Caenorhabditis elegans: one gene and its partners. The protein of the gene in region 2 purifies or fractionates together with the protein of the main gene of each other region. This does not show direct contact. Each region holds a gene or a part of one and is shown on either strand. Other genes may lie near its edges.

Evidence for each region.
Region 1: the proteins of copb-2 (region 2) and copb-1 fractionate together in Caenorhabditis elegans (co-fractionation; one large-scale study listed by BioGRID). This does not show direct contact.
Region 3: the proteins of copb-2 (region 2) and rpc-2 fractionate together in Caenorhabditis elegans (co-fractionation; one large-scale study listed by BioGRID). This does not show direct contact.
Region 4: the proteins of copb-2 (region 2) and mcat-1 fractionate together in Caenorhabditis elegans (co-fractionation; one large-scale study listed by BioGRID). This does not show direct contact.

What each region holds. Positions count from the first base shown.
Region 1 is NC_003280.10:3,077,054-3,081,810, forward strand, and holds the start of copb-1 (Coatomer subunit beta), read left to right. Parts: upstream 1-1,742; 5' UTR 1,743-1,752; coding exon 1,753-2,245; intron 2,246-3,334; coding exon 3,335-3,543; intron 3,544-4,204; coding exon 4,205-4,287; intron 4,288-4,757.
Region 2 is NC_003282.8:9,458,107-9,464,528, reverse strand, and holds copb-2 (putative coatomer subunit beta'), read right to left. Parts: upstream 4,799-6,422; 5' UTR 4,793-4,798; coding exon 4,631-4,792; intron 4,562-4,630; coding exon 4,073-4,561; intron 4,028-4,072; coding exon 3,894-4,027; intron 3,845-3,893; coding exon 3,612-3,844; intron 3,500-3,611; coding exon 3,184-3,499; intron 3,137-3,183; coding exon 2,785-3,136; intron 2,730-2,784; coding exon 2,488-2,729; intron 2,441-2,487; coding exon 1,603-2,440; intron 1,531-1,602; coding exon 1,390-1,530; intron 1,318-1,389; coding exon 1,222-1,317; 3' UTR 509-1,221; downstream 1-508. Other genes in the region: F38E11.6 (Adenylate kinase), read left to right, coding at 186-215. UniProt on the Caenorhabditis elegans protein: The coatomer is a cytosolic protein complex that binds to dilysine motifs and reversibly associates with Golgi non-clathrin-coated vesicles, which further mediate biosynthetic protein transport from the ER, via the Golgi up to the trans Golgi network.
Region 3 is NC_003281.10:5,555,548-5,563,390, reverse strand, and holds the start of rpc-2 (DNA-directed RNA polymerase subunit beta), read right to left. Parts: upstream 6,027-7,843; coding exon 5,295-6,026; intron 4,882-5,294; coding exon 3,974-4,881; intron 3,734-3,973; coding exon 3,644-3,733; intron 3,595-3,643; coding exon 3,312-3,594; intron 3,015-3,311; coding exon 2,820-3,014; intron 2,549-2,819; coding exon 2,170-2,548; intron 1,711-2,169; coding exon 1,152-1,710; intron 634-1,151; coding exon 489-633; intron 1-488. Other genes in the region: hach-1 (3-hydroxyisobutyryl-CoA hydrolase, mitochondrial), read right to left, coding at 6,401-6,519, 6,570-6,790, 6,989-7,362, 7,415-7,807.
Region 4 is NC_003280.10:88,022-93,408, forward strand, and holds mcat-1 ([acyl-carrier-protein] S-malonyltransferase), read right to left. Parts: upstream 3,499-5,387; coding exon 3,287-3,498; intron 2,792-3,286; coding exon 2,671-2,791; intron 2,620-2,670; coding exon 2,522-2,619; intron 2,192-2,521; coding exon 2,019-2,191; intron 1,968-2,018; coding exon 1,832-1,967; intron 1,420-1,831; coding exon 1,230-1,419; intron 1,018-1,229; coding exon 841-1,017; intron 728-840; coding exon 617-727; 3' UTR 508-616; downstream 1-507. Other genes in the region: C50D2.7 (putative ADP-dependent glucokinase), read right to left, coding at 4,422-4,581, 4,955-5,387.

The DNA of each region.
Region 1 (4,757 bases), on a different chromosome or scaffold from region 2:
TGTCGATTTCCGTGTAAATTATCACATTTCAAAATGCGGCCGGGTCTCGCCACGATTTGCCCGCCGCTGTGTCACGGGGTACGGTGGATGGCGAGAACCACGTCACTGTGCGAGAAATCTAGATTCCAATCTTTTTCCGGCGATTTACGTGGATTTTTGCCGGTTTTCAGCGGATTTTTTCGTTTTTTCGTGGGTTTTTGAGGTTAAAAATTGATTTTTGAAGCTTTTAAAGCTATATTTCAGTCGAAAAAGCGGCAAAAATCGATAAAAAACAGGTAGAAAGAGTGAAAAGTGACGTGGCGTTGAATTAGGTCAATTTAAATCAATTTGTCGTTGAAAATTGGGTTTTACAGCTTTAAAGCCTAGATTTCTGTCAAAAAATCAATAAAAACCAGGCGAAATGAGAGAATTTTGTGAAAAATCAAGTTTCGCAACTTTTTCCGTAGTTTTCTGTGGATTTTTGCGATTTTTTTCCATTAGAAATTCGATTTTCTGTGTTTTTTGCAGAAAAAGTTACAGTTTTTGCTGAAAAATGCGATTTTTTCAGGCAAAAACGACAAAAAATCCCATTATCAGCAGAATTTTGGTGGTTTTCTCAGTATTTTTTTCTGAAAAATGCAATTTTTTCAGCCAAAACTGGCAAAAATTGCATTATTAGCAACAATTTGTGTGATTTTTCAGATTTCTAGCTGAAAAATGCAATTTTTTTCAGCTAAAACTAACAAAAATCGCATTTTTTGTGGATTTTTGCAACTTTTCGCGTTTTTTTTTCCATTAAAAATTAAGTTTTAAGGCAAAAAAAGCGAATTTTCGCGGGGTTTTACCACAAAAAAAAACCGAGGGAAAGGCGAATTTTGCATACAATTGTCCAAAAAATTGAATTTTTTCAATTTTTTTACAAGAACAGTCAGAAAATTTGCATTTTTAGTAAAAAATTTGGCATTTTTTACTGAAAAAATGGAAAAAATCGATTGAAAATGGGGATTTTTAGCCGAAAATTTGGAAATTTTCAGTAAAAATCTGATTTTTTTAGCTTAAAAACCGATATTTTTCGATTTTTAAGCTAAAAAATTGATTTTTTCAGTGAAAAATGGAAAAAATCGATTGAAAATGGGGATTTTTAGCCGAAAATTTGGAAATTTTCAGTAAAAATCTGATTTTTTAGCTTAAAAACCGATATTTTTCGATTTTTAAGCTAAAAAATTGATTTTTTCAGTGAAAAATGGAAAAAATCGATTGAAAATGGGGATTGTTAGCCGAAAATTTGGAAATTTTCAGTAAACACCTAATTTTTAGGTTAAAAGCCGGGATTTTCCGATTTTTACGCCAAAAAACGGAATTTTTGACTAAAAAATCGGGTTTTCAGCTGGATTTCGAAGAGTTTTAGGGTTAAAAATGGTCAAAAATTCAATTTTTCTGATGTTTTTGATTTTTCTGATGTTTTTGAGCATTTTTCATGCTTCAGAGTGATTTTCTTGTCATTTACAGCGTTTTTTGATGATTTTTATCCATTTTCTGACGTTTTTGGGCATTTTTCATGCTTAAAGGCGATTTTCGGGGGTTTTCCAGCGTATTTTGACGATTTTTATTCATTTTCTGGCGTTTTTCGATGATTTTCGATGATTTTTCACAGAAAAATGCGATTTAGCTGGAAAATTCAATTTTTTCACAAATTTTTTTTTAAAACGTGAACTTTCTCTACTTTTTTCTTTCTTTTCCCCACAAAAAACCCGAATTTCCAGCTCCTCCACAATGAGCTCCGGAGAGCAACCATGCTACACACTCATCCACGTGCCCAGTGACGCTGAGCTCCCATCAGAAGCTCAATTGAAGGAAAAATTCGAGAAAGGAGGCGATAAAGAGCGAATTGAGGCGCTCAAAAAGCTCATTTACATGATTTTAAACGGAGAAAAAACGTCGCAGAGCATGCTAATGTACGTCATCCGCTTCTGTCTTCCATCCAATGAGCACACCCTTAAAAAAGTGCTCTTGATCTTCTGGGAATGTGTTCCGAAGACGGATTCCAATGGAAAGCTGCTCCACGAGATGATTCTGGTGTGCGATGCCTACCGAAAAGACCTTCAACACCCGAATGAGTTCGTTCGCGGTTCGACCCTTCGGTTTTTGTGCAAACTCCGTGAGCCCGAGCTTCTCGAGCCGCTTATGCCGGCGATTAGAGCTTGTTTGGAGCATCGGCACTCGTATGTTCGTCGTAACGCTGTCTGCGCGATTTTCACTATTTATAGTGAGTTTTTTTGGGCTTATTTAGGCCTGAAATGGGCTTGAAAATGCGAAAAATGACTTTTTTCCAAGAATTTTCACCTTTTATTGCATATTTTACGTTATTTAGTTGATAAAAGGTACATTTATTGCAAAAAATCGCATTTTTAGCTGAAAATTGGCGAATTTTTCAGCCAAGAACGGCTAAAATCGCATTTTTAGCCGAAATTTGAGGGTTTCTTAAGATTTTTGATTTTTTGCTCCAAAATGCGATTTTCTAGGCTCATTTTCGGTGAAATTTGCGATTTTTTGCGAAAAAATCCCTTTATTAGCTGAAAATTGGCGAATTTTTCAGCCAAAAATGGCAAAAATCGCATTTTTAGCCGAAATTTGAAGGTTTCTTCAGTTTTTTTTGGTGAAAATTGCGATTTCTCATGTTTTTTGAGCTGAAAAATACGATTTTTTACAATTTTTATGCCAAAAAACACATTTTTAGCTGAAAATGCGATTTTGTCAGCCAAAAATGGCAAAAATCCCATTTTCAGCTAAAATTTGGGGTTTTTTTTTCAGTTTTTTTGCTGAAAAATACGATTTTTCATGATTTTTCAAGAAAAATCACATTTCCAACGAAATTCTGACTATTTTTCGCTGAAAAACGGCAAAAATGCCAATATTCAGCTGAAAAATGAGCATTTTGTCTGATTTTTGTTGCCAAAAATCGATTATTAAGCTGGAAGATGGAAAAAAAATTCGACTTTTTGATGTTTTAAGCTAAAAATACGTAAAATTTCGTTATTTTAAGCAGAAAAATCGAATTTTTCAGGGAAAAACCTGAAAAACTTGCAGATTTCCAGCTAAAAATGTCATATTTTCTGCAAAAAAACCAGGAAAAATCGTATTTTTCAGCTAAAAATGCGAGTTTGGTCTTGAAATGCACCTTAATTAACGAAAAATCAATGGAAATATGCAATAAAAGGTGAAAATTTGAGAAAAAACCAACTTCGGGACCGGAAAATTGACCAAAATTAATGATTTTAGCTAAAATTAGGTGATTTTTTCGCATTTTTTGATCATTTTTTCCCCGTTTAATCCAAAAATCCCGCTTTTTTTCCAGAAAACTTTGAATTCCTGATCCCAGACGCACCGGAGCTCGTCACAGAATACCTTGAACAGGAGCAAGATGCTTCGTGCAAGCGTAACGCTTTTATGATGCTCCTTCACGTAGATCAAGCTCGTGCTCTTGACTATTTATCGGGATGTATCGATCAAGTCGGATCTTTTGGAGATATATTGCAGCTCGTTATTGTTGAACTCATTTATAAGGTGCATTCTGTGGAAAATTGACTGAAAATATCGATTTTTTGAGAAAAAACCCGTAAAAATGGGGTTTTTTTCGTTGAAAATCGAAGAATTTTCATTAAAAACGGCGATTTTCAAGAAAATTGCGGTTTTTTAAGGAAAAATCTGACAAAACCCTGTAAAAATGGGGTTTTTTTTTTTGTTAAAAAACGGAGAATTTCCATTAAAAACGGCACTTTTTTTATGAAAATTAACTGAAAATGTGAATTTTAGAGTAAAAAAGCTATAAAAATGGCGTTTTTTCGTTGAAAAATGGAGAATTTACATTAAAAACGGCGATTTTCAAGAAAATTGATTGAAAATATCGATTTTTTGAGAAAAACTTGTTAAACAGGCTATTTTTGTTTTAAAAAAACGGAGAATTTTCATTTAAAACGTCGCTTTTTATGAAAATTGAATGAAAATATGAACTTTTAAGCAAAAATCTCAGAAAAATCGTGAAAATCTAGAAATTTCACTATAAAAATGTGTGAAAATCGATTTTTAATTTTAAAATTAACTAAAAATTGGTTTTTTCAACGAAAATACGATAAATTTATCGAAAAATATGATTTTCCTCCAATTTTAACCGAAAAAACTGAAAAAAAATGGCCGAAATCATCCAAAAACTCCAATTTTCTTTCAGGTTTGCCACAATAATCCAAACGAGGCTTCCCGATTCATCAGATGTGTCTACAATCTTCTTCAGTCATCATCACCAGCCGTTAGGTGAGGAAAATCTTGGAAAAATGACGGATTTTCCTGGAAAAAATGGACAAAAAATCGCCAACACCATAAAAATTGTGCGATTTTAGCGAAAAAACTGGAAAATTACGATTTTTAGACCCCAAAACCTTAAAAATTCAGCGATTTTCTCGAAAAATAGCCTGAAAAAATGAAAAATGTTGAGTTTTTTTTTTTCGAAAAAAATGCTCCAAAACCTGGAAATTGTGCAATTTTTTCGTTAATAAGCTGAAAAATAATTAAATCTTTATTTTTTCTTGAAAAACCTATCAAAATTCTCAAAAAAATCGAGTTTTAGACGCCAAAAGCCCCAAAACCGTGAAAATTTCGCGTTTTTCTGAAAAAAAAAAAGATAAAAAGTTAGAAAATTACCGTCTTTAGACCCCGAAATCTTGAAAATTCCGCGATTTTTGTCAAAAAAAAATAGGCGAAAAATCAGATAATTGCAGTTTTGA
Region 2 (6,422 bases):
GAAAGCGGGACAAAATTAATCACATGTTTTCGTATGAGTGATGGATCGTAAAAAATCAAGGAAATGTGAAATGTGTAGATTCAAAAATAAACATTTATGAGAACTGAAAAACTAGGTTATTTAAAGAAATCTCACAAAATTTCGACATGTTATATCATATTGTTATAGTATCATGATCATTTCAGAAAGAACAAAGCCAACCACGAGACAGTTGACGGGGTGGCGTCGAGTCGGAAACATTAAACAAGCGGCGAAGCGAATCTTCCGAACGAATTTCAAGACATACTGAAGAGCCACCAATGGAAAGAGAAGCTCGTTCAGTTTCGGCTCAACCTCGTCAAATGGGATTCCGTGCCAAAAATCGTATCGGATTGTCGCCGAATACGCTTTTTCCGTATTGAAATCGGCTCGACGCCTCTTATCATTTTGCTCCTTTTTTGAAGTGCCTTTTGATTATCACTTGTGTAGACATAAATATCTACAAATTGTTCCTGATCAGCCACACATACACTTTCTGTTCCGTTTATTCAAACACGGTTAAAAGAAAAAAAAATCATTTCAATCAATAAAACTCTCATTACATCATTTTTTCGTTAACACGAAAGTTTTGGGGAGGATGATAGTAGAAGTGGAAAAAGCCATAGAACAAAACTTCGAAGAAAACCCCTAGAATACAAAAAACACCGCACAAAAAAGCTGGAAATAACTTAGTGTTTACTTATAAATCAGAAAGGGCGATAAACATAAAAATTCAATAAGTTATGTGATTTTGAAGGCAGAAATATGAAAACGGGGAGGGATGAATTGGGTGGATAGTTGGCAAAGGGAGCTTACGACAGGAGTGACCAGTAGAAATAAAAATCACAAAAAAAGACGAGTGCGCCAAAAACACTATAAATTACATAATTATTTGATAAGAAAAACATTATCACATTCCCATAATACTAATTAACAATTTCCCAAAGAATGTTAGAGAGTGACCGACACCAGATGGGTTAGAAAAAAACCTCTTTTTGGGGTGAAACATGAAAAATAAAATAATTATCTATCGATCGATCTGCTCTGAATCATTCGTCAAAAAATTGTGCATGAAATTACGGATGGAATGGGGACATTGATAGGACGGGAGGGGGGGGGGGGGGGGCTTAAATTACATACACAAAAAAATAACACTGATACTCAGTCTTTCTGATCTTGTTGGGCAGATCGATCGACTACCAGTCAATCTTCCTCGTCTAAATTTAGATCGTCCATATTCAGGTCTCCATTTTCAGCATCTCCAAAATCTTCATCTGACCATTGCGTATCATCTTGGAACTGTAATTGGATTAATTGATTGAATTTTCGCAGTTTATATAATTTTCAAAACATTTATAAATAAATACTTACATCTTGAGCAGATTGTTGTGAAGACGCGGAAACCAAATCTGGAGCGGCGGACCCCCGTGGTGGGACAATATCAGGCCGGCTTGTCTCAAGAACAACATCAGGAGTTTTAGATGTTCCATGAGCATCGGCACTTTCTTGATTCTGAAAATAAATTGGTGATTCTAGCAACGAATAGTCAAATTCCATATGAATAAAAAACTGTTCAAAACGTACAGCTGGAACATGCACCTCTTGCTGATCATCATCGAATTCTTCCTGTTCTTCCTCTTCTTCAGGTTCAGGTTCGCGGATCGGTGATGGCTCACGAATAGGGGATGGCTGGCGTACAGGCGAGGGTTGACGTGCAACTGATGGAGGAGGTGGAGCTTTCAATTGTGTCTCGGTTTGTCTTGGGGCATTCTTAAGTACTGCTTGGCCATCATCAGTAAAAGAAACTGCTCCCGAAGCAACAGCTTCATCCAATTCCTCTTGAATATTCCGGGTAGCAGCTGATGGCACTCGAACGGATGCTGGGACTGGAATCTTGGAGATCTCACGAACGAAAGATTCTGCTTTCAGTGATTGGGTAAATCCAGGGAACAAGTTTTCATACTTCACTGGATCGGCAAGAGATTCTCCAATCTTTCTGCTACTCTTTTCGCTGTGTCCCGAAGCCTTGGCTTTCCACAATTCAAGAATAGATGAAACTCGAGACGGCGCATGTGTTCGAGCAAGGAACGCTGCTTCTGGGAGGCGACCAGTCGAAATAAGTTTGTCTAGACAAGCATCAATATCTCCAAGAAGCAAACTACTGAGGAAGCTGATATTGTGGCTTTCGGCAGCAGCAGAGTCATCCGCAAGTTTCTGAAGAAGAGGAGCTGATCCGGCACACGTTGCAAGAAGCATTAGACCTCCGAAATCGCGAGCTCTTCCAAGACATTCACCAGCAAGAAGAAGTTCCGACTTAAGAGTGGCGGCGTTGCTGAGAGCCTTCCATTTCTCTTCTGAATCGCTTTGCAGTGCCAAATCGTAGGCAGTCTTCAAATCTCCAAGAGCTACCGAGAGATCGAATCTGAAAACGTTCCAAAATTATTGCTGAAAAGCTGAAAATTGTCTTACTTGTGATCAGGGTCTTGAGAGACCGCAAGAGCCTGCTTCTTGAATCCTTGCTTTTCGAGGAAATGAGCAACACGAGTTCTCTGCTCTTTTGGAATTGTAGTAAGTACCTTGTCAGCAGTATCGAAGTCACGGCGCATTACAGCAGTTTGATATTCAAGAACAGATAGAAGAAGTTTGTATGAGATCACGTTGAGATCCTTATCGACGGCATAGACTCGAGATTCCTTAGCCATGTATCCCAACTAAAATATTTAAGTTTTAAAAATGATAAGAACAACGCATGTTTTAAAATCTCACCAAATAAAGTGGTCTATCAACATGAGCAATAGTGACAATTTCTCCACCGACATAATAGTTGATTCTATTGAGTGCAGTGGTGAAAATAAAGCAGTCCCCGATCCAGAATCCCGTCTTCACAGCTTCTGCCTGTTCTCCAATAACCTCAAACGCGTCTTCAATACCGTCTTCGGTCACTTCTGTTGCATTGGCAACTGCTTCAGCACTGTACTTGAGAACGTAGAATGAATCATCTCCACAAATTGCGACCATCTCTCCGTTGTCACTCCAATAGATGCTCTTGGAAGTAATTTCGATACGACGAACAAGAACGGCTGATTCCCAATCAAAGAAGCACAAAGAGTTGTTCGATCTGAAACAAAAAATTAAATAAAAGTCAATTGATAAGAGTTCAAAAACCTCAAGGCAAGAAGTGGTCCACCAGAAATTCCCTCAAGTACCATATCTGAACGAATTGACTTGTGATCCTTGAAGTTCTTCTTTATCTTCACATTGGTGGCAGATTCACGGACAGCAAACATATTTGGATCAACAGCCCAGACAAACTCGAGTCCTTGTCCGAAATCCTTGTTTCTGAGAGCCATTGCAGTATAAACAATGTATTCTCCGTCACCACAAGCGACAACAAAACGTCCATTAGATGAATGAGCAAGGGTTTGTGGATAGATTTCAGAAGATCCGAGATCTTTTACAGAAAGCGGCAGACGTTCTCCATCTGTAAATGAACTGTCTTAGAGTGATAATAAATGAACACAATTTCTCTTTTTTTAATACTTTCAGAAAACATGTGCCGAACTATACAAAAGTCGAATGAAAGTTTTCCAAACCTTGAATGGCTTCCGACTCTTCAGTTGAGATTGTCTTCAGGTTAGCTTGCTGAATTTCGGAGTGCTTTGCCCACAAAATCTTTCCAGACGAATCCATACTGACTGCTGGTTCTTCTCGGCCTAATTTCAACGTGACGGAACCTTCGTCGTATCCGATGGCAATAGTGTTGGCTCCTTTTTGAGCTTGGATGCACCAAACACGTTCCAACCCATAATTCAAGGTTGTTTCCAGTCTAAAAATTTTAAATTGTTGTTGTGGAAATCGTACTTTAATGTTCTTGCCTGTAGGTGTTTGCATGCCACAATCTAACAGTGGAGTCTTCGGATCCTGTGATTATCAATGGCAGTTCTGGGTGGAAACAAACTGAAGACACATTTTGCGCATGTCCATCGAGCGTTTGCACACACGTTTTATTCTGAAAATATCATTTTGGATGAATGCAAAGAGAAAAAAAACTTACTTGGTAATCCCAAATCTTGACCAGATGGTCATCAGCTCCAGAAATAATGTATGGTTTCTCTCCACCATGATAGTAATCGACACAGTTGACTCCTTTCTCGTGTCCTTCCAAAGTGAAATTCGGAACATTCGATCCGAACTGCCATACTTTGACAGTTTTGTCAAGAGAAGCAGTTGCAAAAGTGTTATTATCTTTTGGATTGATGGCAATCTGCATGACATAATGAGTATGCCCTTCGAATGACTGTTTCATTGCCCATTTGTTATCCCAATCCCACATTTTAACAAGCATGTCGTCGGATGATGAAATGACGTAGGGAAGTGTTGGATGAACAACGAGCGATCGGAGATAATCAGAATGTGCTTCGAATTGATGAACTCGTTCCAATGTGTTGTAGTTGAAAACTCTAATATGCATATCGTCAGATCCCGTGACAACCCAGCTCTTTCTTGGAACGAACTTCGCTGCACGAACTGGTACGTCACACACCTGCAAAATTTAGATTCAGTTATTTCGTAATTTCATGAAGTTTGCACATAAATTTGAAAAAAAGCTTACTTCAAATGACTTTACAAGCGTTTGTGTTTCGTAATTCCAGATGTGAACATTTCCATTGTAAAGAGCAGCTAGAAGCCATGTTTCGACTGGATGCAAGTCGACACATTTCACGCGGTCCGAACGAGCCAGAAGCTTTCTTTTTACATCAAGTCGGAGAGGCATCTTGTTCTGAAAAAAAGCTAAAATAAATAAACTCAATGTAAAATTAAGCTGAGCACGAAGAGGAAGATTTGCAAATAGTCAGCTTATAGAAATAAAATAAAACCGAAAGAACATTCAAAAATCGATAATATTCTGGATTTTTAGAATTCAGATGTTTAAATCAACCGAAATTAATCTTTTTTAGAAGAAAATCTTAAAATTCATCAAAAGATACGTTGGCGAAACGATAGAACACTCAAAAGGTAGAGGCGCATCCATCGCCAACTCAGAAAGCCCCGATCGTATCGAGACCACAGCGGGAAAGTCGGCGTGCCTTTGACTTTTTTGTCTGCGTTTCTCACATTTGTGAGGTGTCTCTTACGAACGGTGGCTGCTTCGTGGCAGATTTTATAAATAAAATTGCATTCAGGAAATGTTGTAAAATGAATGAAAAAAAATTACGAGAAAAATCAACTTTTTTTGAAACTGATAGTGAAGTTGTTGAATGTTTATGCAAATTTTGCTCTGGACAACCTTAAACGTTTTAGATTTTTCAAAAAACTCAGTTATATCTTAAAATCGAAGAGGCCCCCTTTGCAGCCTTAGTTTTACCTGATTATGGCAATCTTCTTGCTTATTGTTGTGTTCTCCACAATGTCCAAACCAAGAGCAATATTATAGTAGAAAGAGTACTCGATACGAGTCAGGAATAATAAGAATAACCGATTTTGCTCGTTCTTTTTGTAAATTATCAAGAGAATTTACATAAATTTAGCTAATTATTTATGTAAAATGTGTGTGTGTGTGTGTGTGGAAATGGTATGATTCTTATAATATTGACAACACAATGCTCAAATACAAATAATCAAAACGTAATGCAACAACTGGTAGAAAATAAATAGCTTTCTGTGGGACTTCAAAAATATGGAACTTTTGGTCATTTTCGTTGTGGTTCCATGGTACGAACCCATGTTCATACAGGGTGGGCCAAAAGTATGGTAACACATGAAGCGCTCTTTTACATGAGATTTTCGCGCGACTGCCACGTCATACGTACATTTTTCTATCGAATACTGATAGCTGAATAAATTTCCTTCAATTTGACCCAAAATTTGTAATGTTTCCCAATAAGGTGCGATTTTAATCACCTCGGCAATTTGGCGAACCCTTTTTAAAACGGCATTTTGGCACGCGGCACTTCCCACACAAACGCACCTCCCACGCACGCCAATAATTTTCAGATGTATGATTTTTATGTTAAATTGAAAGTTAAAGAAATGAAGAAGCGTTTTTGATTGTTTTTGTAGCATATAAAAATTTTCTGTGTCGACACTGGCGCCTAGCAAGAACCTTTGAATATTTCATGAATTAAACTTTCCGAAATTTACTCAGTTTTTTTGGTTTCACAAGGCGTAACGACCCACAAAATCAGCAGAGCTAATTTTTTTCTAAAAATTCTGAAAATTCAGGTCAAACCGTGCCAAAAAGTACTAAAATGAATACTGGTGCCGCCGCTCACATCCATCTTTCTGGCGACTGTGTCATTCAAGACCTAAACTACTGCCACAGTCCGTACAGAAATACCACGATAGAAATTTTTTGGATTTTTGTTTTTAAAGAATCTCCAGACCAAGAGCATTCTTTGAACTAT
Region 3 (7,843 bases), on a different chromosome or scaffold from region 2:
GAAAATTTGATTTTTTTTAACTTCCGAGCAACAGAGATTCAGAGCCATTAAAATAGAAAGTTTTGCTTTTTTTAAAAAGTTTTTAGGGAAAATGCTTTTTTTAAAATCGATTTCTCTGTTCTTATAAAAAAGTGGGAGTTCAAAAAAAAATTAATAATCGGTTTCCGACCTTTTTTTTCGATATTTTCAGATAAAAGTCGGGAAATGTATTCTCTCATGATCAAACAAAATCCATAATTTTCTCTGCGGTAAATCAAAAATTTTCAAGAACCTTTCCAAAAAACGTCAACCCAGTTTCCAAGAAAAGTCGACCCGCAAAGTCAACCCACGCAAGGCTTCTCCCAGTCTCTCCCGCAACAGTTTCGCTCCTCATTTTCGCAAAAAAGAACCACTTGAGAGTGTTACGGCTAGTGTAATGATGAGCAAAAATTGCGCGCACACACACAAAAGTAGCAAACTTTTAAAAAAAACTCGGTAAGGGAATTTACCTTAAACTCATCTGATGACACCATCAAACGCTCAATAAGCAGCATCGATGCTCCATAGGCAATGAGACAATCACGTTCCATTTCTCCAAGACGTAGACCTCCTTCTCGTGATCTTCCTTCTGTTGGCTGGCGAGTCAATGCGGCTCTGAAAATTTATAGATTTTTAAAAGAAACTCTGAGAATAAATTGAAAAAAATTTTTAAAAAAAGTTTTTTTTTTAATTTAAAAAATGTGAGAAAAATTAAAATGGTTTTTTTTGTTCCAAAATATGCATAACATTTCCGCGAATTGGATTTGAAAAAAATGTATTTCCACTATGAAAAATTGATTCTTTTTTCCCCTAATTTCCTAAGCTTCGAGCATTTTGTCAATTCCTTTTTCAGAACTTTTTCAATTTGGCTTTTTTCGAAATTTTAACCATGATAAAAATAAGTGAATTTTGATTGATACCAAATTTTCTAATTAAAAAAATGTTGCAATTCCTCATTGTTTTACATCAAAAGTTTTAAAGGAAAGTTGGAAAATGCAGAGTTAACTGTTCTAAAAATTTTTCTTTTTCAGATTTTGTTGCTAAACTTAATTTTTAAATATTTAATTGAAAATTCTTTCCAAAATTCAGAATTTCCAGACAAGACATTATCTAAATTCAAAATCTCTCCACACCTCGGTCCTCTGGCACGGGCGTGCATCTTATCCAAAACCATATGCTTGAGCTTCTGATAATAGATTGGTCCAAAGTAGATATAAGCAGATAATGGTTGTCCAGTAATTCCACTTGTCAGCATATCTTTTCCCATATAATTATAACCACAAGCAGCCAATTCTTCACAGACATCTTTAACCTGATCTCCACCAAATGCTGTTCCATAATGATATGTTCCATTCACTACTCCAGCTTTTCCAGATAACAATTCCATTAATTTTCCGACAGTCATTCGAGATGGATATCCATGAGGATTCATAATCATATCTGGCACCATTCCAAGATCATTAAATGGCATATCTTCCTGTTGAGCAATCAATCCGCATACTCCTTTTTGTCCGTGTCGAGATGAGAATTTATCTCCAAGTTCTGGCCGACGGGTTTGTCGAAGAAGAACTTTGAATAAATGAGCTTCATCTTCATTATAGGTAAGAAGAACTCGTTCCGCATATGATGGAGTTGGAGTTTTATACGTGATCGAGACGTCTTTGTAGTCAACTTGGCGTCCAGCGATTCCGACTGAAAATTTAAAGAATTGTTAGTGAACGTTTTTTTTTTTACTTTTTCAGAGTTTTATATTTAAATTTTCGTTTTAAATTAAATTAATTGAATATTTGAACGGAATAAATGTCAAGTTTTATTTAATTGTGAACGTAAAAAAGTTAGAAAATTTATATTCGCAAAAAAGAACGGAGACAGTTTCTTTGAGTTTTTTTTTAAAACATTTGTTTAATTGGTAAAAATTAAAAAATGCTATAAATACTTCAGATTTTTTGGAAAAAGTTTTAAAACAGGGTTTCTGTTGAAAACTCGCTTTCATTTTTACGAGGTTGGTCTGGGAATTGTTTATTATTCTTTTTTTTTTATATTTTTCGTGTTTTTTTTCGTAAAACTTTTAAAAAAATAGATGTCTTCTCGAAACTGTACATTCCGTTTTTATTTTCCTTATACAAATTCGTCATGCTCATTTCAACATACTTGTATTGGCAGAAGCCGACGCTCCAGGACCACTTTCTCCACTGACAACTGGCATGTGCTTATTGATAATCGTCTGTTTCGGCATAATACGTGCTCCGGCGAATACAATACCCTCTTGATCGAGATTTTTGTGCTTGAAAATTGGTTTTCTCGTGTTCGGATCCAATGCTGGTCCTAGAAGACGATCGAATGTCTGATTCGGATATTTTTTGGCGGTTCCCTTCACATGTTTGTAGACCAGACAACGACCATAACCACGATCCAGTGAAGCTTTATTGAGCACAAGAGCATCTTCGATATCGTAACCACTGTATGACATCACTGCGATGATTCCATTCGCGCCGGCCGGCAGTTTTTCAAAGTTTGTCAGTTCGATTGTCTGGAAAATTGTGATGTAAAAAGTTTGAACAATTGATAATTTTCTAAAAGAAAAACAAATTAAAAATTTCTGAATAGAATAATTGATTAGAAAGATATAGCGGATACTTCCGATTTGATTTTTTTATTTTTCGGAATTCAGGAAATTGATTTATTTTTATTTTCAGGATTATTAACGATATCTCTCCACAAACATTAGTTCAATAAATGAAACATGCATTTTTTAATCAAATTTTTTTCATAAATTTTAAAATATTTCAATTTTAACGAACCTTTGACTTAACGAGTGGTCTCTGTGGATAACATAAAAGATACATAATTGAATCAATTCTTTTCTGTTGATTATAGGCAATTGTTCCCATTGCTTGTTTACCCATAGCACATTGATAAGTATTACGTGGAGATTGATTATGATGTGGATATGGAATAAGACCAGCACACACTCCAAGAAGAGTAAATGGCTCAATCTGGAAATTTTGAAAGATTATTAATAGCTCAGACACTGAAAAGTGCAAATTTTATTTTAAACTAAGGATAAAAATCTTTAAATGTTGGAATTTCCTTGAATTATAGAATTTTAGAGCTCTAAATAATTTGATTTTCAATTTTTTATATTTAAAAAAATGAGAATTTAAACTTTTTTCACATAGTTTTAAGTTTCAGACAAATTTTACCAAATTTTTTGAATTTTCTTTACAGGAAAGAACAACCAGTTTTCGATTTAATTTTTTTCATTTTTAGATTCACAAAGTTCAAAAACGTACCTCCAAATGTGTAGTTTCTGGGCCAATTTCTCTCCCATAAACGGCAATCAACGCATCGTTCATCTCATTTACATCCAAATATTCGACAATTCCGTCATCAACAAAATCCTCAAAAATCATTTTTCCCTCTTTCAGTTCCTGCACGTGAGCCTGTGTGAGCATTGGAGTTCCGTTTTTGACAATAATATATGGTCGACACAGGCGGCCACCGTCTGATGAAATGAAAACAGAACGATTGGTTAGAGAACGGGATACTGAAACAAATTCTGACAGGAGTCCACTTCTGAAATTGAAATTCGATGAATTTTTTGGCAACATTTTTTTGTTGAAACCTTCTCAAATCTCTGACGGCTTTCACCACTCTTTCTGGATCCACAGCTGTTCCAATGAGCACTCCGTTTAAGAAGATCAACGTGTTTTCACTGAAAATTTTCGATAAAAATAACCTTTTTTTTAGGAAAAAACACAAAAAAATGGATCTAGTAATTTTCAAAAATTGTCAAACCTTAACTCGATTTGAAATCTAATTTTTATGAAATTGATAATTTATTTTAGAAATTTATAAAAATTGATTAAAATATGCGATTTTTTCAAAACTAGCATTCTCAAAACTTTTATTTTTCAAGATTTCACACTTAAAATTTTAATTTGTAAAAACTCACGGCTTATTGACATGCGAGAAATGCACATTATGTAAATCCTCGACTCCCGAATTGAGTAACAATCTGAGAACGGGTTTCTCATCGGAATCAGTTGTAATGTGACTAATCAAAGCGAGATTCTTCACAAGACCACAAGCTTCACCTTCAGGAGTATCACTCGGACAAAGCATTCCCCATTGAGATGGTTGAAGGGATCGAGGACCAGAGACTTTTCGAGTTTTCTCAAAAGTCGAGTTGATTCTTGTCATCATACCAAGTGCTGAGATATATGACAATCTACTTAGTACTTGTGTAACACCAAGTCGTTCCATTCGGAATCTTTTGATAATCCAATTTCCTGTCGACATAGCATTCACTATAGTATTCGTAATCATATCTTGTCTCATATGCTTCACAATATCCAATGGTGCAGCCATTGTCTTCATCAACGCATTGTCTGCAATTCTTTTCAGTTCAGAGTTGAATCTTTTGAATACATCCTCAAACAGCAACGAAAGCAATGATCCAGCGAGCTCCAAACGTTTATTTCCGTAGAAATCCCGATCATCAAGCCCATTTTCTCCGAGTTCCGTTTGAATCAGTCGTCTTGTCATTAATCCCAAATAAATCGCCTTCATTTTGAAATTTCCATCTGGGCAAGCAATATGTGTGATCATTGAATTGGACAGAAAATCGACTGCTTCGTGTTCTTTCGGTGGAGTCAAGACGCTCACTGAAGTTCCTGGAAGTGATCCGAATGGTGTGAATTTACGAGCCTTGACTTTTGAGGTAACATATGCGAGTGCCTGCTGTTGGGTATAAACTCCGGCATTTATGGATTCTTCGAGAGTTTGAGCAAATGCTGAAACGTACTTCTCCTCGTGACCGATTGTACTCACAATGTCAAAATCTGATTCGACTCCCATCGCCTGGAAAATTGAAACTTTGAAAAGGAAGCGGTTTTTAGTTTTTGTTTTAACATAATGCTACACTTTTTTTAAAATTTTCCCTATTTTTTGTAATAATTTTCTTGAATTAAAAAAAGCGAACTCGAATTTTGGAAAAAAAAATCTGAAAAACTCCAGATTCGATAATAAATGTTTTTGAGGAATTTCGATTGAAAATATCGTAAAATGTTCAGTTTCTCACAATCAGAAAGAAAGAAAGCTTCATTATTTTTTATTCTAAAACATTTTTTGAGAATATTTTTTGCATCAAAATTTGGAAAAATATTTTTCGGAGAATGTTTTTGTATTGGATGTTTTTTTTTTTAAATAAAATATTTAGGAATGAATGCCGAACATTTTTTTTTTCAGTTGTCATCAAAATTCTCAAAATTTACCTTGAAAATGATGGAAACTGGTACATCATCGGTGAGCTGATTGTGGCGAACAGAATATTTACCCTTCTTCATAGTCACATATGTCTTACTTTTCCTCTCGGACGTCGACGAAAGTACTTCACACTGCAGTTCTTTACTTGAATTTCTTCCAACCATAATACGATTTTTGGAGAGTTGTTCTTGAATCAGGATAACCTTTTCACTTCCTTTGACCACAAAATAACCTCCTGGATCATATGGGCATTCTTGAACTCTTGCAAGCTCTTCTTCGGCAAGATCTCTGAGAATACATTTACTCGAACGAAGCATAATCGGCATTCGACCAATGATCAGATCCTTCTTGAATACTCTTTGATTACCACGTGTGTACTCAATATCCACTGAAATTGGCGCCGAGTAGGTCATATCTCGTAGTCGACATTCTTGAGGGGTAATCTTATCGTGAGTCATGTTGAGACCCTCCTCACTGCTGGGTTTTCCGATTCGAATATCCAAATATTTGAGATAAAAGTTTGGATTTGCATCGGAAGTGATCTTCTGATTGGAGAGCATGATACTTCGGATCTCCTCCTGCACGAAATGATCGAAACTGACGAGATGCTGTTTGACGAGTCCTCGAACTTTCAAAAACGCGGGAACGAGAAGCCATTTGTCCTCGAGTGGCATGCATTTCTGATCCTTGCCGCACTCGGATTTTATGCGAGCGCGGCCGTTCACTTGGCCAATTGTCATCTGAAAATTGGTATTGAAAATCTGAAATTCTAGAATAAAAATTATTTGAAAAAGAGGTACAAAAACAGAAAATAACAGTTTGCAATAGAAATCTGGAAATAAAATTCAAAAACAAAAAAAAACTTTATATTCATACGGCGAATAGCTGAAAAAGGCACGGAAATTATTTGTACACCCGGAAAAATTAAATTATAGCTAGACATTTTTCTAAAAATAAATACATAAGGGGTTCCTATTAAAATGGTAAAAATTATGGGGGAAAATCAACATTTTGGGTGAAAAGATAGGAAAACGAGGAAATCCGATAAAAATTATGGGTTTCCCTGATTTTTTAGCTTTCCATTAAAAATTCAATTTTCCGCTAATTCTGGCCTCTACAATTTTAAATCAGAATTATTTGGCAATGGCGAGAAATAGTTATCGACGACAGAATCCTTCACATCAGCCAACGTCGCTGGATTCCACTTTGGCTTGCGATCCTTGTCAACGAGAACTGAAAAATGAGTCAAATTTTCAATGAAACCCTACAAAATCTCTGCTCACTGGCTCGGCACCCTTCATGGAAATCCTTATCGGCGAGGAATCGTTGAGTGAGACGATACTCCATTGTGAAGATCTTTGCATAGCTCATCTTGCTTCCTTCGGTGATTTGTCGGTGAGTTACTTTCAGGGAAGTTGGGCTCATTTTTCCTAGAGTGGCTGCTTGCTTCTTTGCCCAGTCGGATCCGTCTTTTTCGAGGCTTGCGAGGATTTCTTCGACGCTTCTGAAAAATCAATTATTTTATATATCTTAGGCAAATGTAATTTTTTGTGTGCTATCGAATCCTCAAAACTGGCCCTTTCCTAGTTTTTGCTTAAAACTAATATTATCTGAGAAACAATAATAAATCAATTCGATGAAATGCTACTTTTTAATTTGTTCCAACTCAAATACACGTGATCTTGGTGACAAAATATCTTACTTTGCTTTGAAGGAATCTCTAATTTGAGCCAAATTCTTGGACAGACTGAATTCTGGAATCTTCTTTGGCTCGAACGATCTGATGACTTCATCGACAGAGTTCTCTGTCACATCCTTAATATTCACAAGTTCCTTTTCCAATTTCGCAAGTTCCGAAGACTCCACAAAATGAGTGGCAAGACCAGCATGGAAAGCGTCAGCACCTAGAAGACGATATCCAGTGAGTGCCAAGTACATTCCGAGGTTTCCCTTGAGCCTTGAAAGGAAATAGGATCCACCGACGTCTGGGAAGAGTCCAAGTGCGGTTTCTGGCATTGCTAGCATTGTTTTCTCAGTGGCAACTCGGAAACGTCCATTTACAGAAAGACCACAACCCTGAAACAAGTTTTTTAAAAAATTGAAAAGAAAATAGTTGCAGATAACTTACTCCTCCCATCACAATTCCATCAATCAGACAAACGTATTGCTTATTCAAAGTTCCAATTAAATGATTTAAAATGTACTCCTCGCGGAAGAAATCCTTGTGCATTGTGCACTCTTTTCCACTCTCCGAATCTTTGAAAGATCGCACAACGGCAAGAACATCTCCTCCAGCACAGAACGCCTTATCACCGGATCCTTTCAAAATGACAAGATCCACATCGGAAGATGAATTCCAGGCTTGAAGTTTGGGATAAAACTCTCGTACCATTTCGAGGTTCAACGCGTTTAGCGCTTTAGGCCTATTCAATGTAACCACCTTCTTCGATCCGTGTGTGTCGACAAGGATTTCCGACTTGGCGGCGGCGCTCACGGAGAACGACATCTTCTGGCAGACTTCCTGGAAATTTCTGAGTTTAGAACAGAAAATTTGATA
Region 4 (5,387 bases), on a different chromosome or scaffold from region 2:
TAGCATTTTTGAAACTTCTCTAAAATGGTTCATTTTTTAGCTAGAGGACTCAAAATTGATCTCCAAACCCTAAAAAATTGCCTTTTTTCATGGTAATATATGGTTTCAAACATTTTTAGAAAAATTATTTTTTTGCCCAAAAAAAAAGGACAGTCATTATGTGATGGCTGAAAAATCAAAATGGGCAAAAATAAAAAGTTGTTTATTTTTGTAGGGAACGGGTAATTCATACATGTTTAATCCAAAAAATCTAAGTTTAACCCATCAAAAACTATTAAAAGTGGCAAAAAATAACATTTTTGAAACTTCTCTAAAATGGTTCATTTTTTAGCTAGAGGACTCAAAATTGATCTCCGAACCCTTAAAAATGGCCCTTTTTCAATTTAATATAATTTCAAACATTTTTAGAATTTTTTTGCCCCCCAAAAAAAAGGACAGATGGCTGAAAAAAGAATTGGGCAAAAATAAAAAGTTGTTTGTTGAATGATTTTAGAATAAAACGGGCACTCATTATCCTGAAATTTATATTTTCAACAATTGAAACTATAATAAATATAAGGCTAACATAATATATAAGGCTAACATAAATATAACACAAACAATGAAAAAAATCAATTCAGCAACTGAAATGTGAATAATTCTTGTGAGCCTTTTTCGATGTTTGAAAAAGCATCGCACCGAGCTGACGTCCTGCACCGACTTCGTAGAAGCGGGGGAATGCTTCGTTCTGAAATTTTTTAATGTGAAAAATCCAAATTCTTCACCATATTTGAGTCAGCGCGCAAGAAAATGTGTTTTGGGGCGTTGAAGTTACAGTACCACGAAAAATTTGAAATTTACCTGATGTTTTCTGAACAGCGATTGTTGAATCTGTTCCCATCGAACCGGTGAATTGATTTGTTTGGCGACAGCTCCACGAACGTCTCCCTTCTTCGATGACATCACTTTTCCACTATAATTTGACCAGACATTGCACACCGGACGATGAATCTCCACGTTTTGGAAAGCTTTTGCCACCTGAAAACACAAACATGAGGAAAGCTTATAAAAACAACTTTATCGGAAAATACAGGTTCTGTTTAATATTTTTCTGTTAACCAGCCATGAACCGTACCTCCGGCGCAGCCCCGACTTCTGGGGATGAGAACTATTTTTTCTTGAACTACAGTACTTCTACCGTACCACTATGAAAAGTTATTAATTTTTGAAAATAGCAAAGAAGCACACACCTGTTCGACGGCAGACTCCATTTGTCGTGTATGAAAAGCTGCCGAAACTGCAAGTCTCTTCATCACTTGAATATTGTATTTCTCTTGATTTTCTTCCAAATATTTTAGGCACGTTTCTGATCCGCCAATTACTCGGACACCGCAATACAGATAGTTGGCAACTTCACATACAACAAGCTCTCGGTTTTCACTGGAAATTTGAACAATCAGGGTTTGGGTGGCCGTTCGGCAGGTTTTTTTGTTGAAATATCCGGCAAATCGGTAAATTGCCGGTTTGCCGTAAATTTTAAATTCCGGCAATTTGCCGGTTTGCTGGAAATTTTCGGCGATTGCCGATTTGCCGGAAATGTGCAATTCCGGCAATTTGCCGGAGTGCCGATTTGCGGGAAATTTTCAATTCAGGAAATTTGCCGATTTAGTTTATTTTCAAGTAAATTTATTTTTTCGCATCAAAGTTAATTTATTTTCGATAAAAGTAGTTTCAAATGTTGGAAAATAGTTTTCTGAAAATTTTCAATTTTTATGATTTCCGTCGGGTTTTTTGTACTCTTCCTGCAAAAACCGCAGGTTTTTTTTGAAAATTTTTGTGAGAAAAAACCTACGCCGCCACTTTTCTGGCATCTGCCATTGCCTTATCCAATTTCGATGCAGCTTTTACTCGAATCGTAACCATTCCACTCTTCACCAGTTTCGCGCATTCTGACATTGCTTCGGCTCTGGTTTTCACGATCTTGATAGCTGGAAAAGTCTAATTTTAGAAGAATTGAAGAAACACAAAAACCAAATTACCATCTGAAAAGCTCAAAACTTTCCCGGCAACAAGTGACGCATATTCTCCGACTGAAAATCCAGCTGTATCAGTCAGGTTTTCTTCGATTGACGGATCTGATGCTTTTAAAGCTTCAAACGCTGCTATTGATGACGTTACGATGGCCGGTTGGCAGTAAAGTGTTTGTTCAAGTCTGCAATTTTTTTAAATTTTTTCAGACAATATTATGAACAGGGGTGGGCGGCAAACGATTTTTCCGGCAAATCGGCAAATTGCCGGAATTGAAAAATTTCGGCAAATCGGCAAATTGCCAAATTTGTCGACAACCACATTGCCGAACGGCAATTGTCACCCACTCCTGATTTTGAAAATATGCTTGGCGATTCCAGAAGCATTAATAGTACTGTTTGAAAATCGAAAATTAGATAATATCGGGCAAAAAACGTATTTTTGCCGGTATTTTTTCACCATGAGCACAATTTGATAAAGATTTCTAATTTTTTCAGAGAATAATATTTATTACTTCTGTTTGGGACCATCTTGACAAACTTTGAGCATGTCATATCCTAGAACTTCGGATGCTTCATCGAAAACTCGCCGTGCCGCTGGAATATCCATCACCTGTAGAAATAAAAAATTGAACAATTGCGCCGAACATTATTACTTTAACACCTTTTGACCCATTCCAACAAATTGTGCTCCTTGTCCCGGAAATAATAGAACGACGTGCTCTTCGATGGGTAATTGACTGAAATCAATAGCTCCAGAGTCTTTCTTCTTGCGCGTTCCGTATCTTGAAAAATCAAAATTAACCGATATATGGGCTGACAAAGCTTATGGTGCATCGATCTCAACGATCTGATTCTTAGTACTCTCAAGACGGAAAATAAGTGATGGAACGTGATTTTATTCGGAAATACAGCGAAAACGATCGTAGAGTTGATTTTCTATAAAAATTTGAATTTTTGAAAAAAATTTTTTTTTGAAATTTTGAAAACAAAAACTCCGAACTTCAGAAATTTTCAAAAAAGAAAAATTTAATTGCCTATTTTATCCGTACCAGGCTCATCGGTATTTCGATCTTAAATTATTTTTAATGAAAAAAATTCAAAAACCAAAAATGTACATTTTTGGCCACATTTTTAATAATTTCCGGTTATTTTTCGAAAATTTAAAAAAGAAAAACTATTTTTTGCATGATTTTTCCGAGAAAAAAATCAAATAATAAAATTTTAAATTTTTTCGAATTTCCTTCATTTCAAAATTTTCAAAAAAAAACCAAAATTACCGAATTTTATTCCTTTCCTTCATAATTTCACTTGACGTCTTTTCAATATGCTCACGAAGTTGCTCCTCTGGGTACGGTAGCCGTGTCGTTGGATTAAGAATTACGTTGTGAACATCTGAAAATGTGACTCCTTCATCCAGAATCCCACCTCCTGGAGGTTTTCTTCGAATAAGTCGTGTGGAGCAACGAGCTATGTTAAATGGAGTCAGCATCTGAAAAAATTGTTTTTTTTGAAAATTAAAACATTTTTGTTTTTTCTTATATACTTGAATACAGTTGTGACGTAATTTTTCTACACTTTTTAATTTTCCGACACTACTTGAATAACCCCATAAGGTGGAGTTCCGAAATCTGACACTTTGCTTTTTTAGACTACCGAAACTAGACCACCGAGTGCCGAAACTACCCAAAAATTTTCATACTGCCGATAGACTACCGAGACTACCGATTAGACGGACATTTTAGACTACCGAAAAACTACCGAAACTAATAAGACTTTTTGAAAATTTCACAAAAAAGAAGTTATGGCGGTTCAAAGTTCTGGAAAAAATGTTGATTTTCAACTGGAATCAAAAACTTGGGTCTAAAAAAGCAAAATCTGAGATTTCGGTACTGCACTTTGAGGCTTTGTAAACATTTTTTTTCGATTTTCAAAAATATACCGTTTTTCAAACTTCAAAAATTTACTTACATAAACATTAATTTCGATCCAAAAATTATAAGAATTTTGAATCATCAAAAAGTCTAAAAATTTTCAAAAAAATATTTGATTTTTTTCTAAAAATCGTCAATTTTTTGATGAGACTACCTGAAATCGCAAAAAAATAGAAAAAATGGAGAAAACCACAAAATTCAAAATTTAGAAAAAAAAGGGTATTTATTACTATTTACATTTACAAAAATTACAGGCACATAATCATAACAAAATTCACAGAATCTTTGGGGGGAAAAGAGAAAATACATGAAAAAAATGGCAAAAAATGGGGAGAATGAACAAATTTTTACAATAAAGTACACGTGGTGTCAGAGTGTCCCATCACGGTGTGATCTACAAAAATGCGGTGAGCGAGACGCAGAAATCCCGCATTTCTTGTACATCAACCCGTGATGGGATAACCCGACACCATGTGAAAGTCTACCAATGAGTGGGTCTATTCAAGCGATAAAATTGTGAATAAAGAAGTCCGGTAGCAGAAATTGCATCATCAATTCCGACGGTTTTTGATGGTAAACGGCATACAAGAACAGGTGTGAACACGAATAGAACATCTTCACGCATCCATGATGCTATTGGGCTGGAAACAGATTGATAAGGAAAAGGAACACAACTTTTTCCCCCATAACTACAGTAATCCTACCGTACTCCTACAGTACCCCTACATTACTATTACAGTAACCCGACCTACAATCAAAGAAAAGTGGGAAAAATTCCAGATTTTAGCAAAATTTGGTTTTTTTTTTGAAATTTTGACCCGAAACGTTTTGGGCAACTTTTTTGTGAAGTCTCATTATGAAATTAGGTGGTTTTGGACAAGTTTCAGTCTATTTACGCAAAATACCCACAAATTCTACTCTCAGTTTAATATTGATTTTTGATAACTTAAAAGCTTTTTTGGTGTTTTTTTTAATTCGGTGTTTTTCTCTCAATTGATTCCTCTTTTCACATACTTATGAGCTTCAAATTGATAATTCTTCTCAATCTTCTTATCCAACACAAAATTCGCCGGAGTTCTAATTTCCAGCAGCTCCGAATCCATCGTATTTGCTCCAATATTACATGACAATCGACCAGCGATTCTGGCTCCGGCAGCAAGGCCAGCAGCAAGATTAGACCAATCTGTTCCAGAAGATACCATAATGTGATACGTGAGACAATGGAAATGAATTCGAGAGAGCCGGTATCCAGTTTTCGACGCAATTTGTCCAGTGGGATCTCTTCCATATGTCTTCAAGAGCCAATGGAGCATCTCTACAACTTTGTGCACATGAACGGTTCCAGCTTGTACCGGATATTCTTCCATATGTGGTCCATTTGCAATATGTGACAGGAATGTGAGCTCTTGCTCATTAATACCAAGAGAATCTACGTATGGTAGGATCT